Linked DNA regions of Lepisosteus oculatus. The protein of the gene in region 3 purifies or fractionates together with the protein of the main gene of each other region. This does not show direct contact. Links are inferred from orthologs where the notes say so. Each region holds a gene or a part of one and is shown on either strand. Other genes may lie near its edges. The genes, in order: cep97, centriolar coiled-coil protein of 110 kDa, cep76 and cep290.

Region 1 (8,023 bases), on a different chromosome or scaffold from region 3:
GCTGGAGAAAATGACAGTCTTGAGATGAGAGTTTGAGTTGAGGTCCAGATTACTTGCTAAATTCCCCCTGGCATTACAGAATCATATCCAATTAAACTTCCCTCTTAATTCAGCAAGTGATTTAATTTCTCACTTCTCCTTAGTGGGCAGTGAAGCTGCAAGCTGATCCACCAACCCATAGATGGGTGCTATGTTTCTGTAGTAGGTAAAGTGGATCCCCTTTTTTATCCCAAAATGTTCTACATGCAACATTCATACATAGGAATTAAAAAATTGTTTTTTTTTTTAACCAATGGCACTGTTTATTAATTTACTGACATACACAGGGCCCCATGCAGCTAAGCTCAAGGAACTCAACAGCGTATCCACTATGCCCATAAAAAAGTTGAGTTGTATGATAAACTACTGTACATCTCTTTCACATTTTCAGCAGACGAGAGCAGCAAAGATCAAAAGAAAATATTTAAGAATAAAAACAAGCTAGATGGGGAGCTTTCGGTTGAGACCTCATGAATACATTAACGAGATGAGATCGGGTTCCAGGTCAGACCTGCAGGAGCTCCTCACACTTCTCCAGGTGCTCGAGCTTTATGATCTGGTTCCGGTCCAGGATGAGAGTGTGGGCACCAGCGGGGCAGGGGAGAGAAGGCTCCAGCCTCTGGATCCCCTGGGCAGAGAGGTCCACCACAGGGCCTGAGCACACAGCGAACACAAGAGGACTGTACTAGGGTGGACAACCCAGACAGGCACATCACAACAGCCAGGAAGATACAGAAGATTCCAAAACAGGAAACAGGTGAAATTACATCGTCAAGGGATAGAATCCCAGACTTATCACAATACATTAGGGTAACCTGATAGCCATCTCGCGGAAACAGTTTTATATTTGCCTAAAATGTCTCAAAGAACAAGCAAAACAAAAAAGAACAGCACAATCCCCTCCCACTCAGTCAGCAGTATTCTATAACAGCTCCACAGGAGCTCAGCAGGTGTGAGCCTGGTCAGAACCTGGATGGGAGACCTCCTGGGAAAGCTCAGGTTGCTGCTGGAAGAGGTGTTAGTGGGATCAGCGGGGAGCGCTCATGCTGAGGTCTGTGTGGGTCCTACGCCCCAGTACAGTGATGGGGACACTAGACTGTAAAAAGGCGCCGTCCTTCAGATCAGACATAAAACCGGGGTCCTGACTTTCTGTGGTCACTTAAAATCCTAGGGCATTTCTCAAAAAGAGTAGGGGTGTTATCCTGGTGTCCTGGACAAATTCCCCCCTGGCCTTTACCTATCATGGCCTCCTAATAATCCCCATCTCTGAACTGGCTTCATCACTCCGTTCTCCTCCCCACTGAGAGCTGGTGTGTGGGGAGTGTACTGACGCACTATAGTGTCGTCACATCATCCAGGATGGGCTGTACATTCTTAGTAGATGGGAGTACCCATTACCTGTAAACTGCTTTGAGTGGAGTGTCCAGTAAAGCACGATATCAATGTAAGGATTATATTCTCTCCATGCTGCTAACCAAAGGAAGCAGTATTAGACAGCTTCTCACAGAGACACTTGACTGCAAGCATCTAGGAGCTTCATCTGCTACAGTACACTCCAGTCCCCCACTGTCTCCGCTAAAGGACCATGGATGTCAGCACTAACTAGATAACAGGAATTTTGGGGGAAATGTAATGTAATACACTGCCTCTTAAATGTGATTCCTTACTCATAAAAAAAACCAACCAATCCCTTACACGAATAATTTGTAACATTCATGGATTTAAGAGTAACTTTTATCAAGACTGCACAGGGCCACATCTCATTCGATTTGAATGTGGAATTTCTTTATAAAAGCAGACATTCTATCCCACTATCCCAAAGGAAGAGAAAGAGGAGTCACATAAATGAAAACAATGCAGGCAAGGAGGCATACAGTAGTCATTTTCCAAATCTGGAGACGTGAACTTGACTAGACCCATTTTAAAGGTTTTTTCGTATTCAAATAGTCCGCTGTGATTCCAAGCATTGTTCCAACGGTGTTCAGTATACCAAGCGCTCTGGGCTGTTCTGGTTGAATAACAGAAATAGGGTTTTTATAGACGCAAATATACTCTTATAGACGAACAGAATACCGTCGAGTACCAAATAAAAATGCCCGATGTGGTTGCAATGACTATTATAATAGCATAACTAAATTAATGTTGAAATATATGTACAGATTTAAGATATTTCAGAAGCGGGTAGTACAAAATTGAAAATCATAGCTAGAGTATGCTAGAAGAAAATGTGTAAAACTCGTACTTACCATATTTGTCTAACTTCGGGCTTTCTACTCCCATGTTTCAAATATAGTAACAGTTCTCGTTCAAAGACACTATTCTCGTTAGCTAAACTGCGTTTTCCATATGTTTACAATCTTAAATATAACAGGACACGGCTTTACAGTTAAAACAGAAATCTCCTGACAGTTGTTTGAGAAACAGCCTTGTAAAATTGAATACTTTCACGACTCTTTGTAAACGAAAGGAACACAATAAACCAGCGGCTCCACAGAACTTATTTTAAATGTATGGCTGCATTAATCTAAAGGTTATTTTAATCCAATATCGTATTTCCAAAAGAAACAGGGTGAGCAGCGAAGACTCTCAGCAGTAACGACTACACTTCAGTTCCTACCAACTGTCACCATGACTTTACAAGGCATCGTGGGACCTGTAGTCCCCAACCTCGGGGCTCTTACTCCCAACTCCGGAATTATGAGAACACAAAAAAACTACAACACCCATTACGCATCGGGCCAGTTGCGCCTTGATCCAAAACAAACGCAAAACCTTATTGTATGATGGAATTACACCAAAAGGCGTTCTCGATATCTGTGGCCGTGTGTAGATCCCCCCACGACAGAGGTCTAGAGAAAATGTGACACGGTTTACACTCTAAGTGAACAGAACACCATACCTTTTATCTCTAACATTTTAGCTTCTACTCCCCCCTCCATCGCCGCCATACTTCCCGCTTGTACTAACGCCAAGCAACCAACTTAACTGCTTATTGGCTGTTTAATTTCGATAGAAAATGTTTGAAATGAAAATAAAAACGCATTTGTTTGTTAAATTTAAGAATGTATGCGGCCTTCTCTTGGATTTCATGGAGGTATTCTGATAATCAATTAATTACAGTTTCGTACAAATGGATTACCCACAATCCCCTCTTTCTTTTCTCCATCTTAGCCGCCGTCATGAAGTGAGTGTTTCTGAGTCTTATCCGTGGCCATCTGAGCTTAAAACCATCAAAATAACGCAACTTGGGTAGTACGTTAGCCGAGTACAACCTTTAAAATCTGTAATCATGTTGTCTTTCTTCTTTTCAGGGTCGAGCTTTGTAGTTTCAGTGGGTACAAGATCTACCCCGGTCACGGCCGGCGATACGCCAGGATAGACGGAAAGGTAAACAGGGGTTCCGCCGGCCTTGTCTGTACCGGTTTCCCTCTTGCTGGAATTATTGTACAAATCAAATGACAGTTCACTTTCTGTCAGATTTGAGAAGATTATCTTTTTAACTTACGCAGTTCTTTAAATGCCTGAAGTACAACAACTTGTCCGTACGTCTTGTGGCGCGAACGTAGATGTTTTAACTTCTAGGTGAATTGTTGCTTAGGCCAGTCATTATTTTGTGTGATTGAATTTGGATTTTGGGGGGTTTTATAAAGTGGCTGCTCTCGCATCCTCGGTACAGTCCAAACACGCATGGTTCTTCCGTTGGAAAGCTAGAAACGTTGTGGTTTTGCTATCCATGCATTTGATTTATGACTCGGTGATCAGTCCTTGTTTCAGGGTAATTTCTATGACACATGTCTGAGTGAACGTGCTCTGTGACAAAGCAAACTTCTCCGAGGAATGGTTTGTTCCATCCTCCAAGATGCTATTTAATGGCGGCACTGTCCCGTGAAAGCGCTAGTAAGCCATTCTTGCAGATCAGATGTTTTCAGCCGAGTTTATAAAGTGAAACTTTTTTTTTTCCCCCACGAGACTGACGGATTAAAATGGGAACTTGTGCGTGTAAATAGTATCACTAGCAGAGCTGTTAAAACTTGAGTACTCATGTGAAACTGCAGGGCCTTTAGGCGACAATGTTATTGCTAAGTTCTACTTGGCTACAAGTTGGCAGACTAAAATTCATGGTACAGGAAGGATGGTTTGGCCCTTGTTGATAAATAGCATGTTTACAGTCTGGGGAAGGCAACTGGTCTGCCAGCACTATTAGTGTTTCTGTTATTTCCACTTAAGACCTTAATGACTTGAAATTTGAGAACATGAGAAAGTTCCCATGAGAGAAGTCTATTGGGTCTGGTACTTAATAGTTCATTGATCCATTAGAGCTGTTTCTTGAAAGAAGCCAGGTGTCCACTTCAGCAACAAAGCTGTGCAGCTTGTTACATGCCCCTACAACCCTTTGGGTAAGGAACTGCCTTTTTTTAAAAGCCCTTCCACATGGTTTTCACTTGTCCTCTGGTTAGCGTTCATTCTCAACAGTTTTAGCTGGCTTGACTTTGTCAGTAGCCTGGAGGATTCTCAACTTCTTCCTGAAACAGGTGGATCAGTCAAGTCAGCTGTGTTCTCAAGGTCTCATCGGGTAGTAGCTAAAAGGTGCCTCTGGGACCCACAGTAGGCTGGCACTTGAGAGCCAGTGTAGCTTCCCCCTGGTCCAGGCGTTTTTGTCACAGATTGATAGGGATCGAGGTCTAGAGGGCCAACGGTGATGGTAAGGTGGATGGAACATCGTTAGTGATATTGACAGTTTTTTCTTCTTTCTGTTCTGATTGGATATGTGGATCAGAAACGTGCACTGTGAAAAGTGGAGAGGAAGTGGGGTCTTAAAAGTGGAATCTGATGGGGGGGGACGTTGTCTAACGGCAATAGGGTGTGGTAATGTCAACCAGTCTGAGATTTCCACTGCTCTTTACAAAAGGTCTTCCAGTTCCTGAATGCAAAATGCGAGTCGGCCTTCCTGTCCAAGAGGAATCCCCGACAGATCAACTGGACTGTCCTCTACAGACGCAAGCACAAGAAAGGCCAGTCTGTAAGTGTTGAAGGCAGGGGCTGCTGGCTATGTCCATGTGACCAACGCTAGTGTAACCTTGCCATTTTATGTGTTTTGGTTGAATACTTGTATCGTTAAACAATCATTGCTAACATTTCAGTGTTTTGATGAGATTTTGCTGCTTGCAGAGTCACAAAGCTGCTCTTGTGAACTTGACAACCTAGTTTATCAAGCAGGAGCTGCCTGTGAATTTTGTTCAGAATTGTTCAACGCACACATAAAGACTGATATCATGGAAGTTTTCATTGCATCATTTGGTGAGAATGTTGAGCATTACTGCAGCCTGTAGAATGAAGTACTCCCTCCTGATTGGCACCATTGAAAGAATCCAAGGAAACCCAGTACAACGACAGTCGGACTAGGTCTGAAAGACTCAGTGCTGCACTGATCTAATTGTCTTTGTGGTTTGCTCTGCTGAAAGGAAGAGGTTCAGAAGAAGCGAACTCGTCGGGCTGTGAAGTTCCAGAGGGCCATCACTGGTGCCTCTCTTGCTGAGATCCTGGCCAAGAGGAACCAGAAGCCCGAGGTCCGCAAGGCCCAGCGGGAGCAGGCCATCAGGTGAGGGAAAACTGGGGTGTCTGAGGAGGTGTACTCGAGGGGAATGTCCGATCATTGACAAACTTTGGTGCTTTCCCTGGCTATTGGAAAAGTCTGTTACATTCTTGCCTCCCTCTTTTCCCTTTCTGCATTTACCTTAAGTGGAGTCTTTTTCCTGAACTTGCAGCAGAATCGGACTTGGGTGTCGAATCCCTTTTCTTGCTTGCAACAGATCTGCCACGGTTGTGTTTAAAATGACAGTTTTTTTGAGGAGTAACTTGGAAGTCTGGAGCTTCATATGAATTTTAAGACTCCGTTGAAAGACAGATATCTGCTGAGAAAGGAAGCAAGATTGATGGCGATTGTGGTGGGTTATAGTTGTTGATCTTTTTTCTTGTTCTGTATGTACAGGGCTGCAAAAGAAGCCAAAAAGGCCAAACAGGCAACTAAGAAGGTGGCTGCTCCAAGTGCTAAGGTAAAGTTATCGGCATTTATTTCCAGTTGACCATACTCTTTACACAGACTATATGACACCTCTTATCCCGAAGGACTCCAAAGTGCTTTACATATAGAGGAGATGCACTTCACCTTCCAGAAAGACATTTATGTTAACTGCATTTTAATTCCTTAAAGGGTGTTATAAGGACATGTTCACTGTAACAGGGTTAAGGTTTTCTTTAGTTTATGATATAGTGATTTATAAACGCACCTCTTTGTGTGCATCCCTACTCGTTTTTTTCATATTTTGTGTTTCCTACTTTGAAGAGGTTAGAGAAGTGAGGGGAGTCAGTGTGGGGGGGCTTAATGAAAAGTAAAAAGGTTGGACTGGAAAGTGGTCTTCATTTGTGTGACACCCGTTTTAATCATACAGAACTAATTACTGCATGTTTTCTCTATTATGCCATTCATTAAAGGTGCTGTTTTTGAAACACCCTGTGTAGTAGCTCTGTTAAATTTCTTCAGAATTGTAAATGGCAAGATAGCAATCAACTTAGTGCAAAATAAATTAAGATTAATCAGTATCAGTCATAGGTGTTTATGTAGTACCCATTGTGCCGTTTAGAATTAAAAAAAGCTTATAGTTAATAATCCACATTGCTTTGAATTTTTATCTATGTCAAGTTGTAAGATTTCCAAGCTTTTACAAGTTGTACTTGGGAAGCAAAAATTAAAATGTAAATAACACTGCAACCTCATTTATTTAACTTACTCAAAACAAGATGTTTTACTTCAAATATACAAGCATATAGCTTGTAGGAGGCTGTTACTAAAACACATCAGAATTTGGCTGTACCTGAGGTATACAATGTGAATAGTTTGGTGATTGAAATTGCTCAACAGATTTTAACTCAAGCACAGAGCATAGAAACGGTTATCCTCCGGATGGGGATTCTTGATTCTGTAATACAGCTCTTTGATTATATGCAGAGACTGATGTGTATTCTTCTTCTCCTGTGCAGGCCCCTGCGAAAGCAGCTCCGAAGCAGAAGATTGCCAAGCCTATGAAGGCACAGGCTCCACGTGTTGGTGGAAAGCGCTAAATTTAAGATCCGATGACCATTTGTGAATAAAGCTTTTGACAGTGTGTACTGTATGTTGCCTTGAGTCTCTTTATACATGGGTGTTGCCAGTTCGAGTTTTGTCATGTGGCTGTGAACAGATTTGTCTGTTTATGGGACCACCGTGCATGTCTTTGCTACCCTATGTTCTTCAGAGTGCTGTTAATAACCGCATCGATTTTTTCTGCACAAGGTTAAATAATTAGGGGAAGACTGCTAATTGAGTCCCAATTTAAATTAATCTGGGCAGAATATTTTGCTAGACATTTCTAAGTGATCACAACTGAAACCTTTTAATGGTGTTTACCCCAATACTTTGGTCATCACTAAGGTGGTGCTGTTTTTCTCTGAATATATGCACTAGTAATGAAGGCAGATGATTTTATTAGAGGTGATGCATACCTTTAAACTATTGTTAAAGTAACATTTTACTAATGTTTATTTGGAGTACTGCAATAACAGGAGCCTTTATATGTAGAGGACGGTTTATAAAAAAATTGTATATCTTAAAAATACTTAATGGCAACACTGATTCAAGATATTGCACCGATAAGACGAAGCGTAAATTTGAACTATAAGTTTGGGTTTTGTTTTCGTTTACTACCAAAAATACGTAAGCATTTCCTTACAAGGTAATATTTGTGCTAAATATGAGCTAAACAAGAACCTCGAAGGGAAAGCGGTTCATTGACACTTCCACTTACCCAATTAAGTCTACTACGCTCTCGAGATAATGACCAAACATAATTAATAAACTCGATTATAATCGCCAGTTGTAGCATAAGATTCTGATGCGTCAATCGGGGTGAAGTTATCCAGAATCTAATACCGTCTCTGCTTTGATAAG
Region 2 (7,797 bases), on a different chromosome or scaffold from region 3:
CTGTAGACGTAGACGAGATTTAGTCTGGATTTATGTAATGTACTGGGCACGCTGGTCCCCCAGGCAGGTGCCGTACGCCAATGATGGATGAAGTGGGTCCCCTCTTATGTGCAAAAAAGCTTGGGATCCTTAAGGGGGAAAAGAGTCTGACATAAGCAAGGAATGATTACGATGGTGACTAGGCTAGCGTCTCTGCATTCTACTGATCCCAACTGTGTGGAACAAACCACCAAGCACTGCGGTCGAAGCGGATCCCTAAGAGAACAGGCTGGATGTGTTTCTGGAACCATCAGCAACCCAGTAAATAAGACAGATGTCTTTATATGTGACATTTTGCTTTCCCTACCAGAGGTGACAGTACTGGCATTCCATGGAACTGGATGATGGAGAGCTCCCCCTGCTGGTGGGTGGCCACGCCGTGGGTCTGCCCCTGCGCCTGCAGGTGTGCCAAGCTGCGTGTGCAGAAGTCCTCGTAGCTCTCCATCCCCGCGCAGGCAAACTGCAGAGAGGCAACACAGGGGACAGCCATGTTCATTCTCTCCTGACAGCACAGCAAAGCACAGCAAAGCAAGCACCAGGCTGTAGTGCTTCACATGTCTTTCACTGGACAAGAATGCCAAGCTGCAGAGGCCCAGGAACAAACATGACGCCCGCTGCAGAGCACCGGCATTCATTTTGCGTAACAAAAGTTGCAGGCAGCTTTATCAGAACAAAAACTGCAACGGAGAAACAAAAAAGAAAACATTTTTAAAGTCACCTATCTACATATGACTATTTACCAAATGTAAGGGCACAAACTTGAAATTTCCTTTACCTAAGATTGTCTTTGTAGCCACGAACTTCTAAATAGACAAAATGCACACTGAAAGGGAGTCTGATTCGTTACCCAGTAACAAGCTCCTGACTTGACTGTAACACAGCCCCTGAACAAGGCTGGACTCCCAGCAAACTCCTTTTCCCAGGGAGAATGAAGTCATCGCTCGTGGCAGTGTCTGCAGGGAACAGCCAATGCGAACAGCAGCTTCACAAAGCAGCCCCACCTTCTCAACTGACCCCCCTTTCAAAGACACCAGGCGGTCATTTTCCCTTCAGTCAGAAGTGCAAGAGGAGGGGGTCCATCCACGGCCACCTCCGACGGGCCAACGAAGAAAACCTCGCTAAAACATTTAATACACCCGTTACCATTCTGCACACAACCATACAGACTAATAATATGGCAACTTATCCAACCACCCATCTTCTAACTACTTCTTCCAAATTCCCAGCAAGCAACGGGCGCAAGTCAGGGTACGCGCTGGACAGGGCGGCAGGCCATCGCAGGACAGACAGTCACACCAGGACCCGCTGCGTCACAGAAGCCAGTTATCCTATCAGCACGTCTTTGGACAGCGGGAGGAAACCGGAGCTCCCAGGGGACACCCACATGGACATGGGGAGAACATGCAAACTCCACACAGACAGCGCCCCCGGGGCAGGAATTGAACCCAGGCCTCCGGAGCTGCGAGGCAGCAATGCTGACCACTATGTATGTCAAAAAATCTATATAATCGTCTGCATGAAGAGCAAGTGGTGCTAATACCTTCTCCAAGGTGAACTCAAATTTTTAAAAAAATCTTTAAAAAAAAAACATTTCGCGTGGTCCTCGTAGTCAGCCAGAGTCTGTAGACTTATTTGGTCATAAATGAGAGGGTATTTATCCTTCAAATGGGAAAAGTTTCCAATAACTGTTGTCATTCCCAAGGAGCTGTGATGAATTAGACAGGTAAAATCTGATTATACAGTAGGTATCTTTAAACTGATACATCTGTAAACAGTTCACATGCCTCTAAGAACAGTACAGGTACAGTGCATACAGTACATATTTTAGCTTTTTTTTAAAAAAGAGTAGGGTAGAGCTTAAGGTGGTAAATAATAGGTACTAACAGTAAAGTAGTCAAATTAACACTGATTTCCTCTGTCAAACGTTTTTCAAGCCTTTTGAATCAAATTAAATGTTCTACCTACCAATCTTTACCTCAGAAAAACCCAGCCAAGATAGGAAGGTAATGAGTAAAATACGATCACGGGCCAACTCTTCAGAGGAACAAGTATTTTCAAACCAAAGGCTGTAAGTAAATGAATGTACTCATTAAGAAAACGACTAATTATTATTGCAAAAAACTATTTATTAGGTACACAGATTATATTTGCCTGACCGTTGCAATTTCTCTGACACAACCCAGACTCACGCTATAACCTTTCACTCCAAATTAATTAACAAACTTATGGGGGCAAACCTGTGGTTTAGTGCATTTCTTTTTTTATTTACTGTGTAGCAACCCATGTTTCCTCTTCTGACTTGTTAAAACAAAACACAGTTTTCCAGAAATGTCTCCTGGACCATAATGCCCCAGCAGTTCCGACTCCTAACGCGTTTCCACCCGCAACGGCTGAGCTCGTTAAATACAGTCTTTCTCCTATCCTGCTGTATTCTTCCGTGCCTTTTAAGATAAACGATATATGAAAAACAACTTTATACTGTCATAAAATATCCGAGGGCTTTTTAAGCTGTATACTAAATCGTATAAATACGGTAATAACCATTCTCCGCATAAAACCGTACTGGAATCGCAAAATTTATCATTTTTTCGCCACTGTACGAAATGCTGTACGCGTGAAGAGTCTAGGATTATCAAAGACTGAAAACTATCTTATAACGAAATAAGTGGTGCTGTTAACCAACGGCAACCAGCCCAGCTATAAACACCCCGCTATAATGAACTTGCTGTAATGATTGTGACAGTTCATCATGAGAAAGCCCCCTCCTTACCTCACGTCCAAATGACACGCAAAACGAAGAAACGGGCCTACTTTTCCTTAAATTTCACAGAAATGCCGTCGGTGAGATCGTAAATCGGTTATACTACGTGCGCACGAATACGGTGGTTTCGTCAACATGGTTATTTTTGTCGGTTTCTAGCATAAAACACCAACGCCCGCCTCTCCCTAGCAGCCGCCATCTTCCGGCGGCAACAGCGCCTCCTAGCAACCCCTAAGCCCCGCCCACTGCCGGGAGGCCGTGAAAAGCCGACTCACTCTGTACAGGGCAACAGCAGATGCACCGACATCCCCTCTTCACACGTCCACTGAGCACCAGAGGAACTTTTAACACTTGGTACAGTTCTGTGTGAATCTGTTAGGTTTATGAGGCAGGGGACAATCTTTCTCCGGCAGCTGCACCGTCATTTTATCGAACAAATATCCACCCACTTTCTTATCCTTATGTATTCAAGGTAGCACCAGTCCATTGTAGGGCAGACGGACACCCATACCTGGGCCAACTTTCCCAAAAGTTAATTAACCTGCCAGTGGCTCTGGGCTGAGGGAGACAACCAGAGCACCTAAAGGAAACCCAGGTGAACACAGGCAGAACATACAAACTCCACACAGACAGCATCCCAGGTCTGGCATTGGACCCAAGGCACATTAGCACATCCATTTTCAAGCCTTTTTCAGATAGTTTTTCCCCTTAGCTTTTCAGCACTTAAACATGAGCCACCTTTGAGGATAAAACATTTACAACCATCTTCACATCCCTCACCCACAGCAAACATCAGGCACAACAAGCAAATCCACCTCCATCATTTAAATCATTCTCAGAGGCCTCGCTTCAGAACTGCTCTCTGCTGGGAGGTGAAGGATGAGCACGTCCCTCGTGCAAAAAGCAACTGCAAGTAAAACACACACATGCACAGCCATCACGGATTGAAGTCTTACTTTATTAAGTGGGCTGCTTTTCTGACACCCCCAAACAACAGAGCTTTACAAAGGAGCTCTGGACAGCCTTTACAATGCAGTCTACTTTTAGAGAGTTGACAACTCTCAACAGCGGTTAACAATTGTAGTCCACTGCAACAAGCCCCAGCTCCTGGTAGGCAGCTCAAAGGGTCCAAACGCTTTCAAAACTCACAATCGGCTCTCAGGCAGAACAGCTGAGGAGACTCCTAACACAAATACACACACTCTGCCACTCCCCCCTCTGAGCGCTATATACACCAACCAGTACTGATTGATCCCCCTGTGAGAATGTGACCTCTAAACCCTTCACCAATCACCTAATTAATTAATTACCACTCCGTGAGACTATGTCCAGATAACAGCAGCTTTAATTATCCTCTAATGCAGATCAGCTGATAAAGCCGTCCTCTTACAAACTGGCCTGCTCTAGTAAAATGGGCACAGCTTTGTCGTCTTTTTGAGAATCAAACACGTTTACAGCAAATAAATGTTAAACTGTTTTATTAACGTCATTAAAGTTCACGGCAGGCTTTTCCAGCTCATCGTTTATGTCCACTGTCATTTTCTGGGACTAAATCAGTACAATAAAGCACCAGTTTCAGTTATTCCTTTAATTTTGAACAAGCTGAATTGTCAGCAATAAATCAATATTCAAAAACGGACTCGATATCTTCAGTATCCGGAAAAGTACTCCTTCATTGAGGGAACGATTATACACTATATTGTTTGGGGGTTTCTATTTCATCGAGCGGAGTTATTTCGTGGACTAGATTTTGGGCGTGGCCCAGAAAAATGGCTCAGTAATACAAACAGCGTCCAGTTTGGATGGTTTAACTTAAAAAAAAAAAACAACCCTGTATGGACCATTTACCACTGCATACAATCTGACTGAAGGTTTATTTTCGATTTCTGCAGCTAGCGCCAGTGACAATGGTACTGGGAAGGGGGGAGTAGGTGAATCTAACAAATCCCATCCAGCATCTAAATTAATATTCATTCTCCCCGAGACGAAACGACTGGGTTGCAATACAGTCAAGGGTCAAGGCGGCCGAGCACCCTACCCCCCTGCGCGGGCGAGGCCCCCCGCCGGTCGGGTCTCCCAGCCCCGCCGGGGGTAAGTGCGCCTTGCGCTGTTATTGGTCGGGTCCTGCGGGCCCGGCCCTGCCCACTCCCCCGGGCGGAGAGGACGCTTGCGCGCTGGGCTGGACGGCCAGGCACAAGAGCGCTGTTAGCGCCGGGTCCCGACCGCCTCCCCCAGCTGACAGCGCCGGCACACGGAGCCGTGCCTCGGCGGTAGCCGGATCGTCACACAGACGCACACACGGGTCCGCCACAATGCTGCAGCTAGGAGATGGGCTAGCCTTCTTCTCCGTCGTTTTCTTCGTGCTGCTGCTGGGCACCCGGAGCCCGCTGTGCTCCACCGGCGGGACGGCGGCTCTCTACCTCTTCCTGGTCCTGTTCCGGTACCCGCCGGTGCCGGCGAGCCGGGCCCAGAGGGTGCTGCGCCCCGACCGACGGGCGGCCGGCGGCGGCGTGGCGGTGGTGGCGCACCGCGGCGGGGGACATGACGCTCCGGAGAACACCCTGGCCGCTATCCGGAAGGTGAGTCCCCGCTTTGGGCATGGACAAACCCCGGCGCCCGCTGTGTCTTCCCCCACCCCTTCTCTCGACCGCGGAACAAAACGGAGGGTTTTTAAATTGTGTGTGGACCGGGTGTTTTGAACGCGTCCACCGCCTGACACGACGCATGCTCGCACCAAGGAAAGGGAAACGGATGCGAAATTTACAGGTCTTTAATGAGGGGGGGACAGCAGACCGGACTTGCACAACACTTCACATCATCCACTAGAGGAACCTCATGCGTGTCGTTAGTAACAGCAGTGTTGGATCCAGCTCAGAGAGCTCGGATTGGAAACCCAAGCAGACTGTGCTGTACGAGGAGAGCGTGAAAGAGCATGGTGCATCCCCACCTGCGGCCGCAAGGCGGCGGCATCCTGCCTAGGAATGGCCTAGTTTTAATTGTCTGATGCATTAAACGACAAACAAGGGTCGTTTCCCCACTACCTGGGCACTTCACTTAAGCACTTTGAGTGAAAAGGGGACTAAATAGGGCCGCAATGACCCACGGGATTAAAACCTTAGTGTGGAGAAGTGGTTTAAGCTTGATCTCTGTGGGGGGGGGGGGGGGAACTGCTTTGGAGCAACTAGACTTGTTACGGCCCAAGACCAGTTTGTTGGAATATAAACTGGAAGCAGTTTAACATACAAAACGCAGGCCTCTGCGAGCCCTTCCGGTAGTGAGCACAAGCAGGCAAGCCCTGTGCGAGACCGAGGAGACCCCCTGACCGTCCGACAGACCTCCCCTCCACCTGTACAAAAAGCAGAGGAAAATGAGCACGTAAAGGACATTCCCACCCTTTCAAAACATAAAAAGTACCCTCCAAGTTATATTTACCTAAATCTGTGAACTATTTAAAATAATAAAAACACACTTACACTCGAGACAAAGCACCTGCCCCAACATCGTCTCCTCCTCGGACATGTCGGATATCAAGACAAGACACTTGTAAAACTCCTTCGCGTTAGTCTCCGATTTGAATGTCTTCCTGTTTCGGTGGAGACGCTACTAGTGGGTTATGTTCAGCGGCAGATACCCAAGGTGAAGGTCCAGAAACCTAAATCTCAAAATGAAGCAAAGCAAAGAAAAAATGAAAGCGTTTCTCTAATAACCGAATAATTGCAAGGATGTTTCCTCTGATGCTCATTAGACTAACGAGCAGGATGTTCTACAGCAACAGCAGAACCCGTCGGTTGTACCTCCGCGGCACCATGTAAACCTGAGCTTCGCAGGAGCCTCACCTTAAATACATGCGTTTCTACGAGTCGAAAATAACTCGTTGGCCAGAACAGCAACTTTTGAAACCCGCAGCTCCTTTTTCCCTCGTTTAAATACGTGCCAGTCTCCCGAGGTACGCAGTTCTTAAACCGCACAAGCGGTATCAACAGCTTTTACCTGCAACAAAGCACACCACTTACCGAACAGTTTCTTGTGCAACTTCTACATTCATCTTGCCGTCTCCCCTCTTGCATCGCCGAAAACGCTGCCGATAAGCTTGAGGAACCAGCTTATATGTCCGCTCAATGGTATTTTATAGCCACTTCACAGCCAGGGCTGTGATCCATAGTTAAAGAGGAATAAGCGTCTCTGATTCTACCAAGCACACTCTGGGAGTAAAGACCAAGCTTTGCCCATTCATGCGAAGTAGCTACACGTTTCAAGTAAGCAAAATATTGATCCACCTCTCGGTGAAACCAGACGAATATCCCGGCCTACACCAAACGGAGTAGCTCACATTTTGCTCGCTTCCAGCGCTACCTCTTCCAATCGTAGCGATTTTCTTCAACCGTTTCGTTTCCATCTAGCGCCTTCATTATTAACTCGACCTCCAGTTGTTTCATTCGAAAACCGTCGCTAGACAATTTAACAGGCGATGATGGATCAAAAACAAGTAATTTACGTTTAACCAGAGAAGTACAGTAACTATTTGAGCTTTAAGTTCAGCCTTCCGGGCAGTACAGGTTACGCCCGATTGGAAATATACGGCATTCCAAAAAAAAGTTCAGCCTTTGTGCAGGTTATCAACAAACCCTTAATATCAAAATTCTATAACTGCACAAACAAAACAAAGACGCAGAACAACCGGCACAGCAAACTAACTTCGGTAACCCGGACGAACTCCGCATGTTATGGCCTAAGCCCCGGGTTTGTTATAATATACATAACTAAAGCCTCAACATAAAATAGCTTTACAAACGAAACAGGCCTTTTTCTTTATTTTTCTCCAAACAGGATACTACTCTATCCAAATATACTCCAACACACTTAACATAGGACCCCCCACCCAAAAAAAAACAAACTTATCCAAAACAAGTTTTCCTCAGACTCTCTGACTACTCACACTCCCCTATTCACATAAAACAAGCTAACTTCCCTACAAAACAAAAAACAAACCCAAAAAC
Region 3 (7,577 bases):
GAACATTATTTATTTAGAAAAAAACATAAATATGATTTTATTCCATCCAGTACTTAAAAGTTTTAGAATTCCTAATGTTTTTATGTAAAAAAAGGTCACAAATATTATCTATAACTGAACACTTTTCACAATGAGCAGCTGGGCTGGCTTCCTTTGCTAAAATTATGGATGGTAAGACTGAATTTTCCATCCTATTAGCAACACCCAAATCTAAACAAAACCCGCATAGCTAACTCTTGTTGAAATACTTACGGGCTTCTCCACCAGATGGAGCCACTCATTGAGGTAGTTCACTAGTGCAAAAGCATGTGGCATATTGTCACCTTCGGAGCAGAATATCAACAGCACTGCTAATGGGATCCCTTCTGAACAGCTGAAATACAGAAATACACAAATCTCTCCCAATATATGTTTGCACTGCACAGAAAATATCAGTTTTATTCAGACAAGTCCAGTACAGAAAGTGTGGTGAACTGTATGTGTCGGCACACATGGTTAATCTAGGGTGACAGTTATAAGAATGTTTTCTTTTTATTGTATTCAGTATTCATAAGTAATAATTACAATTTATAAATGTTTGCTTCCTAGTATTATCTACTACACCAAAAGGAATAGTTTGGACGGGGGTTACTCCCAACTTTTTGCCAATATTTTACAAGCAGGACAAATCTACATCTTTGTAGAACACAGTGTACGATTGATCAGAAATGCCTCCCAACAAGACCCGTAGGCTTTTAGTTCAGCGGGTCTGGAATCAATCCTGAGAAGAGCCTGACAGCCTTACACTGACAGACCCGATATAAGTATTCAAATTCTTCAAAGACACTGACAAAGTCAACCCTGTGAGCTTTTTTAGAATTCACTAGAAAAAAAAAAGGAGTAGAAATGGACAGTGAATTAATGTGAACTTGATTTATTTGTTGGCTTTCTCTATATAACCTTAGGGCTCTGGCCTGTACGTTCAGATGCATGCTGATTTCTCTCTAGATCGTTTGGTTTGTTACATGTACATCCAGCATAAAGCTCCCATGCTATTTCAATAAATTAATTTGAATTTAGCAATCAGATTGGTGGAATACAGACGACTTTTAACTCAGCGGGTTAATTTAAAGAATAAGGCCCTGGACACTAGTGTAAAAGGGAGAATAGTACATTTAGCAGTGCAGGGTTCACTGAAAGTCCTGAACGCCGCAGTCTCGCTGGACGTACCAGTCAGCGTAGAGGGTTTTAGTGACACCTCCTCCAGGGATGTACAGGCGTTGCTCCGTGTCACTGATCCCCGGAAAAGCCGACACCTTCTCCATCTCTTTCCAGTCCAGCTTCTGCAGTCCATCTCCGACAACGCTCTGCAGGGCAGGAGTGAGCAAATAGCGCAGAGGAGTGCTGGAAGCAGAGGACGGAATATTTCTTTTTTGTCAATATAGTCAACCTCATATAAGCATAGAGATCCAAAAGACCAGGACAGCGATTCAACGAGCCCAGTTATAGAGGCTGAGTGTGGAGCGAGCACGAGCAGTGAGGAAGGAGACTTCAAGAGCGTAGATATCGATGATCGAGGAGCAGTAATAATGCACACAGCCAAGGTGGGCCTCTCTCAGCCAGTCCCATGTGGTCAATTTAGCATTTTCCAATTGACGACCGTGTTTGTTTTATTATCATCATTTTTTTTTATTTGATGTTTTGTGCGCAGTTCAATTTCCTATGTGTGCTGATCTCGTAACCTGTGCGTGCGCTTACCCGCCCACAGCTCAGAGGGAACATTGCTCATACCACACATTACTACACAACAATTCAACTAATGTAATGCTACTTTGCGTTAAAGGTATAGGTTAAAGGTACTTTGCGCAGGATAATTGTCCATCCAGAACATCGGGAAGAAAAGGTTTAAACGAACTAAAGCTTCTGCCTGTCTGCTTTATTCTTTATTCTTATTCCCCTCAACATTGTGCTGCTGAAAGACCACACAGAATCAGCAGTAAATCTGCTAGCCACTTGTTTTTATCTACTGGGTCAAAGAGCCATCAATGTGAAATACTACATTCATCACAGAGAAGAGAAAGACAAAATGACATAAAACCGAAGATTAAAGATGAGAGGTCTCTCACCTGAGGAGCTGACGGTCATCCCGATGATGAGCATGACAGCTAGACAGGAGGACAACTTTGGAGAATTTGTTTGTCTTGATCCAGGAGACAACACGTTTCCGAAACTGCCTGTATTTCGTCTAATAAGGCAAGAAAGAAACGATTAGACCTATTCCTGTAAGTTGAATGGTCACAGAAAAGCTGTACTAACAAAATGACAGACTAGCTTTTTTACAAGTAATAGAGGTTTATTCCATGCTGAAAAAAAAGAAGAAAGAGAACACAACGTTTCGGCCGTGGAGCCTTCTTCAGGTCTGGGCTTGGTCACACACCAAGGTCACACACCTGAAGAAGGCTCCACGGCCGAAACGTTGTGTTCTCTTTCTTCTTTTTTTCCAGCATGGAATAAACCTATTACTTGTTCCTTTGCAGCCTACGCATCTGACGCAGCTACCCACCTGAACTAGCTTTTTTACTACCCATAATTTAAACTCAAAGGAATGGACCATTGTAACTTATTATAATACACTTATTATGAAAGCCAACAAAGCTGCAGAAGTATACAATAAAAGTGATATAATGAATGCGACTTCACTAGCACTGAATGTGCGATTATAGGTTTATGTACTTTTCTTCTTGAACATTCACTACACTTCGGTGGGGCTCTACACAAATATAGTAGTCCTACTTGTGGTGGAGTTAATTACTCCGTCTACCTTCTTAGACAGGTTAATTACCCTTAATGACTTAATTAGTCTAATTAATTCATCTAATCAGCCTACTTAGCCTCTGGTCCATAGCTTCTTACCTGTATGATGGGAGCCCGGATCTGAAGGACAGCCAGCTTTAAGTCAGGCAAAGAGTACACTGTGCACAGACAAAAACAGAAAATGCCACTGACATTTCTTTGGATGTAACTTTTTATCATTAAATCTATATACAGTACTAAATACATCTGTAACACAGAATGTGCAGACTTATATGGAAAGAGGCACAGCACTTGAATTGTCAGAATGTTACATACAATTTTGGTCACTACATCATAAAAAATCATTTGTTGTTCTTTCATCAGTCCAGCAAAGAACCACCAGACATTCAGGGACTGAATGGAATATCCTATACGAACAGGCTACACGCACTGAACCTTTTTCATCTTGAACACAGAAGACTACAAGGGGACCTGAACCAAGTTTTAAACATTCTCAAAGGCACTGACAAAGTCAACCCAGTGGTCTTCTTTAGAATAAACAAGAGGACACAAGTAGAAACTGACAGTGAATAAACGTGAGCGTGAATTATTTGCTGGTTTTCTCTAGAAAAGCTTATGTTCTGGCCTGTATCAGAAAAAGAATATCCACTGTAAGTGTGAGTTCAGATGAATACTGAACGTTCTTTTGGTGGACTACATGTACGTCCAGCATGAAATTCACATATTATTTCAATAAACGTATTGATTTAAATCTACAACACTTAAAGATGCAATAATAATTTATAGATGCAAATTATTATGCATTTTAAGGATGATCTTAAATCACTACATAGCCTGAACCTGCTATAGTACACAGCAGATCGGTTATTTACAAGAGTTTGAGAACTACAACAAAACTACCACACATTCAAGACAAGCTGTGTCAGTTTGGTACGGGCTATCTAAAAAATCTAAACTTCGTTGCATCCAGACGCGTTGATGCATATACGTATCTTTGATGAGCAGAATCCGTCCACATACTAACCTTCGGCATTTGTACTGAGTTCAGATGAATCTTCTGGCGATGTGGCATAGGGATTATTTCCTACCATGGGTACTAGACAGTCACTGTGGAAATAGCCCACTCGAGGCATGTGAAGGGTAGAAATGACCAGGTCTGTTGCAAACTGTCCCACGTTTCCCACCGATACCGCCGGCTACAATCAACCACAGGATAACAGCAAAGTAAAGGAACGGAAAAATATATAAGCCCTTTTTTAACATGTAAATTAACAACTAGAAAAAAACAACATTAAGCATAATGTAAAACGTCTAACTTACCATTATAAGGGTAAACTCTTTGAAAGAGGGCGCTGAGCACCCAACCGGAATAAACATGTTTGCGAGTAAGAAAAATAGACAATTCGGTAAAATGATTTTTAACTGTACTAATGTGTACAGAATGACAACTTTCCGTTTCACTACAACTCCATGCTACTTCCAGGGTCCTTCCTTGACATGACGCTCGCTTGGAGTCTGTTACGTTGAGGGTGGACTTATATGGTGCCTGATGAAAACTAAAATGACTTTTTGTTAGACACAAAATATATAACGAAAATGTCATTATCTTTAAAAAGTATGGACAAATATATAAATTGGGTGTAATATGTGTGCTATTTCCCTTTGCTGCATTTTATTTTGTGCAAGATTAAGTCGGGCACTACAATGGATGGCTTCCCGCTGGCTTTTCCGCCACGGTTTGAAAGTTCTGTCTGCTCGTTGGTTGTTGTGGGGAGGAGACGAGCTTGACGGTTCAGACTGCTGCTTTCGAAAACCTGGAAAGCGAAATCAGCCCCCCTTTTTTTTTAGTTTGACCAGTTTCAATTTAAGTAAGCAGGGGGAGTGTGAAAGTAGTCACGTAATTAAATAAGTAACGATTTGTTCGTTGGGACTTCTATACAGTAGACGTCCTCTGTGAGCATGTCTCTTCCACCAGAAAAGGCTTCTGAGCTGAAACAGATCATTCACAACCACTTGACAAAGGTGAGTACAGTATTAGTCTCACCAGAGACGCCTGCATGCTTTGGAGAAATAATATGATCTTAACCCATCGTCCAGACTTTCCAAAGAAACGAGTCCGGAGCTTAAAGTTTGCGGGAATAATGTTGTAGCACTCGAAGATACTTATGGGCCACTTCAGTGAAAGTACAGGTAGCTAATGTGACAGGTAACAGTCCGTCTTTCTAAGCTGTTCCTGCTGTCATGTTTTCGGCTTCAGGTTGAGCATTCAGTCGGTAAGGTTTCCTCCTGGTTTTAGTTGCCCGATTGCTGTGCTCTGTCCACGGTTCTGAATTGTTGTCTGATCTCTTAAATTCCGGACTCTGTAGTTGCCAACATTAAATAGTTCCTTTGGCCTACAGTTCTTAAAAAAAAATATTTGAAATCAACTCAAGCATTTTTCGAAATAATCAGATAACCATCATCGCACTCTGCAGACCCACTGGGGAAGGCCTTGGTACAGAACTGTGCTTCTTGTAGGTTCAGTGCGACTAAGCTTTAACGCATGCTACTGTATTAGCACTCAGAAAATGGGCGTATGTACCACGAGAAATCATATTTTAATGTGAAAATTTTAATCAAGATCGTGTTCAAGCTGTATGCGGCGTTTATTTGAAGATACAGTGTAAACAATTTTTGTTTTCATCATTCACATATCTTCTACGGTAGTTTGATTCCAGCGAAGATGAAAGAAGGCCTTTGGTCCAATCCACCTCTTATGTTAGTAGCTGATTGCCGTTTCTTGCCTGAAGCCAGGGTACAGGCTACAACACAATGTCTGGGTAGTTTGATTCATAATACTCTCACCCTTTCTGGGATAAAGAAGTAATAATAATAATAATAATAATAATAATAATAATTGCTTACACTTATATAGCACTTTTCTGGACACTCCACTCAAAGCGCTTTTACAGGTAATGGAGACTCCCCTCCACCACCTGGATGATGCGACGGCAGCCATAGTGCACCAGAACGCTCACCACACATCAGCTATTAGTGGGGAGGAGAGCAGAGAGTAATGAAGCCAATTCATAGAGGGGGATTATTAGGAGGCCATGATTGGTAAGGGCCAATGGGAAATTTGGCCAGGACGCCGGGATTACACCCCTACTCTTTTCGAGAAACGCCCAGGGATTTTTAATGACCACAGAGAGTCCGGACCTCGGTTTTACGTCTCATCCGAAGGACGGCACCTGTTTACAGTATAGTGTCCCCATCACTATACTGGGGCATTAGGACCCACATGGACTGCAGTGTCTGCTGGCCCCAATAACACCTCTACCAGTAGCAACCTAAGTTTTTCCCAGGAGGTGTATCTAATGGATGTATCTAATGGATGCATGTGCAGATCGATATCCATGGGAAGATCCGGGATGTCTTGGCTGAGACCGTGCGGGAGGAGCTGGGCTCTGGACATCACAATCTCTCGGAAGAGGACTTAATACGGGGTTTGCAACGAAGGGGGATCGTCGATGATGTCATGAAGGACCTAAGCTTTGTGCAGGTGAGTGTTTGATTCAGATCAGGATTACAATCCAGTTTATCTCGCGGTATCTTACCGACGCAGAAAACTATCTCTGTTTTCGGTTGTTTCCATTTTAACTCTGTATCTATGTTTTCAATAATAATAATAATAATAATAATAATAATAATAATAATAATAAACTTTATTTTATATAGCGCCTTTAAAGGTGGCTTCTCAAAGCGCTTTACAGGATGACAATAACAATAAATAAGAAGACTACAACAATAAATAGGAAGATTTCACAAGATAAGACACAATTACAATTACAACAATAACAATAGAGGAGACCGTGGAAGGTGGTACTAAGAAGAGCAGAGGGGTGAAGAATGGAACCAGTTAAGTAAAGGCTTTTCTGAAGAAGAAGGTTTTGAGTCTGGATTTGAAGGAGTTTAGAGAAGCTGACTCTCGGATATCCTTGGGCAAAGAGTTCCAGAGCTTGGGGGCATAGCAGGAGAAGGCCCTGTCGCCCATACAATGTAGACGGGCTTGGGGGACAGTAAGGAGGGCTTACTTAATAATGAAGGAAGGACACTTATTTGTTGGGAAGTGTGCTGTTAAGTACATGATACTGTATAAGGGTGACATGTTTTCCCCCCGTGAAGAAATCTCCTGATGTCTGTTTCCCTTCCCTCTGTGTGTGTGGCCTGGATTAGGAATTGCCAAGCAGAGAGGCCATCTCTACTCCTAAACCCTCAACACATTTTGTCGACAAGGAGCCAGCACAACTCAAGAAAAGTAAGAAAGACTTTTAACGATATGCAGTGCAATAATGTTTGGTCCATTCAGTTAAATTGGAAGAACTGAACTGGAAATTACCATTTACCATTTTAATGGCATATTACATAAAGGCAAAAAAAAAAATCTTACAATAGGCAGTCTGATTTACTTCAGGGTATGCGTTAGTGTTAGCTTTTTGACTCCGAAAATACTGGTTTAACGGTTCGCTTGTGCTACAAAACTATCGTGCAGTACTTCCTTGCTTTACTAAAAAGTAGAAATGGGATTTTTTTACTGAGTGTGAACATGAAGTAATCCTTTTGTCACTGTTATTTATCGATTACTTTAAAATGAGCCTAATTCTAACTCCATAATCGCATTAATGGCCCATCGGCGTCTCCTAATTGAGGTTAATTTCTTTTCCAGCCAACATTGACCCAACAAGAAGGTACCTTTACCTGCAGGTTCTTGGGGGAAAGGCTTTTCTGGAGCATCTCCAGGAGCC
Region 4 (6,847 bases), on a different chromosome or scaffold from region 3:
TCATCTTCACCAGCATCCATGAAACAACAACATCTTCAAATTTTGGAACCTTCAGATACAAGCCAGACTTAACATAGGCATGATTAAAGTTATAGTAATCAGTAGTGTGGAGGCTGAAAAAAAGATTGAAGTTGATTAAACAGAACTTTAAAAGTCAACAGCTATGTCTATCATCGTCAAATCAACACACATAAATACCTTAAGGGGAAAATGAAAAGCTGAGACAAGATGAGATGGAGTATATTACAAAAGGAAAAGTACAATACTGAAAGAAAATGTTGCCATTAGTCACAGGGGAAAAGCCTTCAAGCCATCAGTTATTAAAAGCAAAAATCAGAAACTATGAATTCCAAAACAGCACAAATACTTGTGACTGGTAAAACAAGAGAAGACAGAAATAGATGTATCAGTGAGCAATGAACACTATTTAAAAAGTGAAAACATTAACATAGTAATAAGTCATTCGAACTGCAAGAAGAATAGAGCAGTGAGGGATTAAATGGGCAAAGTTCCCAAGAGACAGAGAAATGACTGGGAAAAATAGGTCAAAAGCTTTGCTGAAGTAAGCTGGAAAAAGAAAATGGGAAAAAAAGGACATGCAAGGGAATCTTCGGGACACCAACATCCAGTGGTGGGTATGGAAAGACTAGACATTAATGGAAAGAAAATAAAATCCACAAAAAAGAAACAAATGGTTTCTAATAGTCTGATTTAACAATTTCAATGTACAAGCAATTAATAAAGTCTGTTTTTTCCTCACTGTTTGCATTTAAGTGATTAAAAATGAAATCATAATAAGCTAACCCTGATAACTGCAACACGTTTACAGAGGTCACAAGAAGATTATCTTTTTATGCAGACCTTTTATTGAACTGACAAGCCAAAGGTAAATCTATTATTCTCTTTCACATTTTTTCATCAACAGAGTCGATCAACTAGTTTTCTACTATGAAAGTTACAAACACTTAGCAGGGCCTTTCATAAGAAACTGCAACACAAAATGTATATACAGTAACAAATTGTATTAATTGTATTGACACAACAGACAGATATTGAATAGGGCTTAAGTCCGTTAAGTATGGTAGCCTTGGTACAAACATCCAACAATGACTTTGCAAGAATTCAGATCATACACGAGCAGCCTAAGGACACGCATTATCCTGCTGGAATGTTGTTCTGTCAGGATGTTAATGTAATGCTGTGGGGTCAGGCTGCCATCTACCTCTACAATTTGAGTTCTGTAGTGACTTGAAACTCCTACCCTGACCATTATATCAACACATCCACACTGATTTGTCTGTTGTACACAAAAAATATAGACCCGTTTCACAAATCTGCACCACACTCATTGACAACCATCAGGGTGGTCCAAAGTAACCTTGAATCTTTCTAAAGAGGACTTGGCTACACAGCTGGACAGTCCTCTTAAGGTGACCTAGTCCAACCTACAATATACCAGAGGCGCAAAGACACTGTGGTCTTGGTAAACAAGCAAAGTTATTCCTTTCTGGTATTTCACCAGATTTAAATTACCTTATCATCTGTGCCCCGTCAGTTTCTATTTTAATATTTTTTACAACTGAGATGATTTAGTGCTCATGTAACAGTCAAAGTCACTTGAGTATATTACAAATGTGAATAAAAAATAATCAAAAAGATGCAAATAACATTGTATATTTTAACATTAACGGTGTATATTTTATTTACACAGATGCATATAAATCTATACATTTCTTTTGATGATCAGTACTGTATATATATTACACTTTTATTAATGATGGCAATTTTAGAATATTAGAAATTAAATACAGTACTATAATTAGATTCAAATTTAAATTGTCTTGTATAGATAAACTTAAAAGTGGTGTTAGTGGCTTCCTGTACTATTTTCAGTCAATAAATGTCTCTTGAAAGTGACAAAATTCACGAGTATATATATATAACAAGAAGAACAATACCTGTGAAATGAAATCCAAAAGTTTTTGGGCCAGGCTCTCCTGATCTGTTAAGGCATCTGGATCGACATCCATCAGTTCACCCCAGTCAATTTTTAAAGGCATCTTAAAAGCTGTGTGGTTCCAATCTAGGAAAACATGTTTGTATTTTAAGCTATATCAAAACAACAGTAGCAAAAGTAACCGCTTAAAGGTTTGTAAAAACGAATCCCCTAAAGGTATGTAGATATCTCAAAAGAGCAGGAATGCTAGTTTTATTATGAAATGGACATTTGTGGTTGCACGTTGCAGGAAAAAAAAAAGGTACATGGAAACCTATTTGGAGGGTTATATGAATGATCGTTTTTATAATCTTCTCAGCACACAATAATTAATCCATGCAACATCCAATACTGTGCATCATGATTTTATGAACTCCTGTCATGCAGCCTTCACTATAGGTACTGTAAATTATGTATCGCTTAATAAAAAAGCAGTCCGGTTTATAACAGTAACGAACAGTACCTAACAGGAGGAACAGAATGCACTTAAACATAAAAGACTAAAAAGTCCACTGCTCAAGGGGTTCAATAGCAGGGATGTATCTACTGTATCTAGTTCCCGTTATGTACTCAATAAACAAGCTGATCATCATAACCCATTCCAAGTCAGAAGCAACCCCATAAAGATTAAAAGGTATTGTGGGTGGTAGACATAAAGTTGAAAAGGGTCAGAAAACAGGAAAGCATATTAGAATTTGTGATTTATTAATCATTTTACTAAGAGAAATTTCCCATATGCAACCACGAAACCGTAGCACGACTATTGTTATCAAAACCTGCATGATTTTCAAAAGCAATGCAAGGTAAAAACAATATAATTTATTACTCAAGCCTTCCGACTTTACTAACGACAGGTGTTAAGATACAGTACACTCGCTTCTTTTTCATGAATACAAAATCAAACATCTTTAATTTAAAGTTTAAACCTCATACTATGTCTCCCAGAATATGTTGTGCTGCGATGCTTTCTGTTGCTGCTAGGCTACCACTTCAAACAGTCGAAAATCCAGCACCGCTTTACGGCAGGGAGACGCAAAAATTGCAGTAAAGTTTAAATTAATTCCTGACCGTCCCCCCAGAGCAGCGATTTGAAGTTCTTAGAGAGGAAAAAGAAAAATAACAGAGAAGGAGAGTCTTGAAAAATTCTCAGACAACGTTGTCTTTATTTCTAATCTTACTTAGGGTACGAAACGACAGGGTGAACTTACACAAATGAAAAAAAATAAATAAAAGGGAAATATCTTTGAACCAGACGCTTATGGAGGGGAAATACGTGTAGACTCAAATTCTTCCAATCGTTGCTCAGGTGACGTCAGGATGAGCCAATCATGGTTTGGGAGACGGTTGGTCTGGGACTCTCATGGATTCTCATGCGAAACCCAGTATAAGGAGCATTGCAATGTAATTCAACGCGAATTATATGTATGTATATTTAATGTTATAACGTAAGGGACATCAGTGGAAGCATTTCTTTTATTATTTGCATTAATTTGATATAATTTCCTGTGGGGAGTTAAAACAATTATTCAAAATCTTAAAACAATTGCGTTAATTTCATACTACATTTACTGATAAAAGATTTTTCCCTGCATTATAACTGCATTATTTTACTGTCTGTTAACAAGTCGAAAAGCAAGTAATGACTGAAATACAGGAAATTAAAGAAAGCTTTCTAATATAAACATTCCTCGTTTTTAATTTCAGGCCGCTCCTTTAAGAATCCCCCGTTTCCGCCCCGGAAATGAAGGAAGAAATATGTTACCTGTAGTAACATATTGAACAGGAATGCTATGTACAGTTAAATAAAATAGTGTGTTTCGTTATAGTTTAGCGTCGAGCATGACAAAGCGGTAAGGATGTGATGAATGCCGCTGTAGTCGTAGAGTTTTTGAAGTGTTTGAGAAATAGAAAAAAAAGCTTAGTGTTTTTCCCTAGAATTTCTTCAGTAAGTACAGCTTTTATTCACGTTAGAGAAGTCCGTCGGCCTCATATAACACATTTTGCCTACTACGAAATATAATCTAATACAGCGGCGGTTGTCATTCGTAGGTAGAAATGGTTTAATTATATAAGTTTGTGTAGTATTTTTTTTTTAATTTTGCGATTGTTAAGCATCCGCTGCGAATACATATTGAATAAATCAATGCAAGGCATTCAATACGCGGTCCCTTGATAGATTAGTGACTTCTTAAAAATAAATATTTATATACTTTTAAAATTTCAAAACCTATATTTCAGAAAATGTGGTCATTTAGATTTTTCTCAGTTATTTAATACTTATAATGAATACTCAGCGACCTTTTGTTAAAATACGAGGGTTCCTGATTAATTGATTACGCAAACTAGGATATTCTGGACATGTTTTAATGTTTTCGTTTAGAGAGACTTTGATGGACTACTGTAGCTTTTAGGCTGATACTGTACAATATTCTCTTTGTTAGAAAAACAAAAACATTGAGAACATTTAAAAATACTTTTAGTGTCGGATTTGTGTTAGCCAGACTCTCTTGGAGCCTACAGGTTTTATGGGTGGTATGGAAAGGAGCAGAATACAATTGGCGTTGGCAGACATAACATGCTACCATGTGCTGACAATTTAGTTTTTTCTTCACAGACTCCCATGGCCTAGTTCACACCCTCCAAAGCATTTAATCTCTGCCAGTGGCTATCAGTTAACTTTTTTTTATTCTATTATAATGTCAATGCATTATTTGTTTTATTGGAAAGAGAATGTTGTGAATTGAAATCTTATCTGTTGGGTTGTATTGGTTGTTTTGCAGTAACCAATGAACTTTTTGGTAGATGATGGCTGCAATGACTTGGAAGGAAATTGCACTGTTGGCCGGAGTAGTTGTGGCCTGTTACTGGAACAGCCTGTTCTGCGGATTTGTCTTTGACGATGTCTCCGCTATTCTGGATAACAAGGACCTGCGGCCCACAACTCCACTCCAAAATCTTTTTCTCAATGACTTTTGGGGAACTCCTATGTCAGAGGTAGGTCACTTATAAGTTCTCCAAGAATTTTGCCCTCACATATTTACCATTATAGTAAGTTTTGCTTTGATCGTGCTTCTCAGATTTTTACCAAGCTCCAAAACCTAAAATCCAAAACCCTGGTTTGGTGGAAGTAAATATGGAAATCTTAAAATAGTGGTTTCTGAGACATCTTAGTGTATAAAACTGAACCTACAAACATTATATGCACTCTGCACTTCAAAAATGTTTGGTTTATGTTTCATTTAAACTGAAATTAATTTCCTTACAGAATAGATTAAATTTAAGAGTGTCTTTTCCAATTGAGCTTTCAAAACGTATATTAAAACAGTATTTGAAAACTTTCTTTCAATACTGTTGTAGTACATTTGGGTTGGAGATTTAGATTAGTGAAATTCAATTCCTCTGACTTTTGCAGATTTTTGAAAGTTGTAAGACGTATTGATTCAATATACTTCTTTAATTCATTAACATGCATTTTGTTTTGGTTCAAAATTGTAGTTATTATTTTGATAATCAAAGCTTCAAGGGCACATTATGACCTTTTTGTTTAATGTGCAAACCAACAGACTCTCACTTTTCATTCCTAAAAAGGATATGTTAGGCTATGTTAATTTAAATTCTAAAATGCATTTTTTAAAATGTTTTTTAACCTGTCCCCCCTACCCGCACTCTTCAAATTGTGAATTGTCCTCATGAAAGCAACGCTCAGAAGGGATTAAATGAAGAGCACAAAGCTTCCTACATGTGCGTTCTGGCAATCTGGTTATTTCACACTGCAGGCTAACGCAAATTACAAGCTGGGGTACCTGCGTGTCCAAGTTAAATGTAGATTGTAATGATGCTGCAGAATTTAGCCATGTCTCCATTTGAGTTTCCATTAGCATGCCTTTTGTTTTGATGATGAAAACCAACCCATAAAACAACCCAACTACTATACATGTACAGTATTTTCAGTCAACAGAAAACAGTTTTTTCATCATATCACATTTTTCATGGAATAGTCCCTTTCTTTGCTGTAAAAATATATCACTGTACTTAATTTGTGTACTTAATTCAGTTACAGTTTGCTCTTCTTTTAATGCGGGTCCATGTCAATGTGCATGTCAGCTTTTAGCAGATTCATTATTTATATACTAAAACATGGAAGGTCTTAAGATTACTTAAAGAGAGTTTAAATTGAAGTAGAGTGTATGCTTGGTTATATGGGTGTGATTTGTGACATTAAGATAACATTATTTTATCCTAACCATAAAAATGCTATATTGCAGATTTGCATACTCATATATTGGCTCGTTGAGGTTTTAGTTTATTGCATGTGTTTGGGGGCTGCAGTTAAAGACCTTGTTACATATGCAGTGCATTTACTGAAACCCCTATCATGTAAGCTTATCTGTCAGTTTTTCAAAGAAAAACATTCAATTTGTGTGTTTCAGTAGGAATAGAAGAATAAAGTACAAACCACTTTGATTGTATCAATATGTGTTATCTTACCGTGGTTGTAACTCCAGGTAAACATGAGGTTAAGATGTTTGTTCTATATCTTAGGGACCAGTAAAATATCACAGAAGGTAAAAATAGACAAATGCTTGTAAACAGCTTTACTACCTATACTACAGAGAGGCATTTCATATACTGTAGTCTTAAGTACTGGAATGACTTACCCAGATAAAACAATTCTAAAACGATCAAAGCAGTCCAAAACCAAGAAAAAATTGAAATGAACTCATTAAAAAACTGATGAAGATGTCCACAATTGATTAATTCTGGCTCCGTAATGGTTATTTCGTAAACAAAACTGTTTTAGGTTAGTACTTTGATTAAAGGTGTCTCAGCCTAGTATTTTCTTTTTGCATG

The links.
Region 1: the proteins of cep76 (region 3) and cep97 purify together in Homo sapiens (co-immunoprecipitation; 4 studies listed by BioGRID and IntAct, with this or other methods). This does not show direct contact. The link is inferred for Lepisosteus oculatus from reciprocal best matches to the Homo sapiens genes CEP76 and CEP97.
Region 2: the proteins of cep76 (region 3) and centriolar coiled-coil protein of 110 kDa purify together in Homo sapiens (co-immunoprecipitation; 4 studies listed by BioGRID and IntAct, with this or other methods). This does not show direct contact. The link is inferred for Lepisosteus oculatus from reciprocal best matches to the Homo sapiens genes CEP76 and CCP110.
Region 4: the proteins of cep76 (region 3) and cep290 purify together in Homo sapiens (co-immunoprecipitation; 5 studies listed by BioGRID and IntAct, with this or other methods). This does not show direct contact. The link is inferred for Lepisosteus oculatus from reciprocal best matches to the Homo sapiens genes CEP76 and CEP290.

What each region holds. Positions count from the first base shown.
Region 1 is NC_090710.1:28,114,305-28,122,327, reverse strand, and holds the start of cep97 (centrosomal protein of 97 kDa), read right to left. Parts: upstream 3,014-8,023; 5' UTR 2,988-3,013; coding exon 2,939-2,987; intron 2,915-2,938; exon of another isoform or gene 2,320-2,914; coding exon of another isoform or gene 2,286-2,319; intron 694-2,285; coding exon 551-693; exon of another isoform or gene 507-550; intron 1-506. Other genes in the region: rpl24 (large ribosomal subunit protein eL24), read left to right, coding at 3,219-3,223, 3,351-3,426, 4,949-5,059, 5,502-5,638, 6,029-6,092, 7,078-7,158. UniProt on the Homo sapiens protein: Acts as a key negative regulator of ciliogenesis in collaboration with CCP110 by capping the mother centriole thereby preventing cilia formation. Required for recruitment of CCP110 to the centrosome.
Region 2 is NC_090714.1:3,117,191-3,124,987, forward strand, and holds the start of centriolar coiled-coil protein of 110 kDa, read right to left. Parts: upstream 3,013-7,797; 5' UTR 2,810-3,012; intron 1,616-2,809; exon of another isoform or gene 887-1,615; intron 500-886; 5' UTR 485-499; coding exon 347-484; intron 1-346. Other genes in the region: gde1 (glycerophosphodiester phosphodiesterase 1), read left to right, coding at 5,113-5,379.
Region 3 is NC_090705.1:9,336,146-9,343,722, reverse strand, and holds the start of cep76 (centrosomal protein of 76 kDa), read left to right. Parts: upstream 1-4,563; 5' UTR 4,564-4,752; coding exon 4,753-4,815; intron 4,816-6,178; coding exon 6,179-6,334; intron 6,335-7,008; coding exon 7,009-7,090; intron 7,091-7,498; coding exon 7,499-7,577. Other genes in the region: psmg2 (proteasome assembly chaperone 2), read right to left, coding at 253-373, 1,210-1,383, 2,106-2,224, 2,893-2,951, 3,818-3,989, 4,114-4,170. UniProt on the Homo sapiens protein: Centrosomal protein involved in regulation of centriole duplication. Required to limit centriole duplication to once per cell cycle by preventing centriole reduplication.
Region 4 is NC_090702.1:17,387,253-17,394,099, reverse strand, and holds the start of cep290 (centrosomal protein of 290 kDa), read right to left. Parts: upstream 3,007-6,847; 5' UTR 2,930-3,006; exon of another isoform or gene 2,923-2,929; intron 2,084-2,922; 5' UTR 2,061-2,083; coding exon 1,959-2,060; intron 1-1,958. Other genes in the region: protein O-mannosyl-transferase TMTC3, read left to right, coding at 3,314-3,418, 4,799-4,990. UniProt on the Homo sapiens protein: Involved in early and late steps in cilia formation. Its association with CCP110 is required for inhibition of primary cilia formation by CCP110.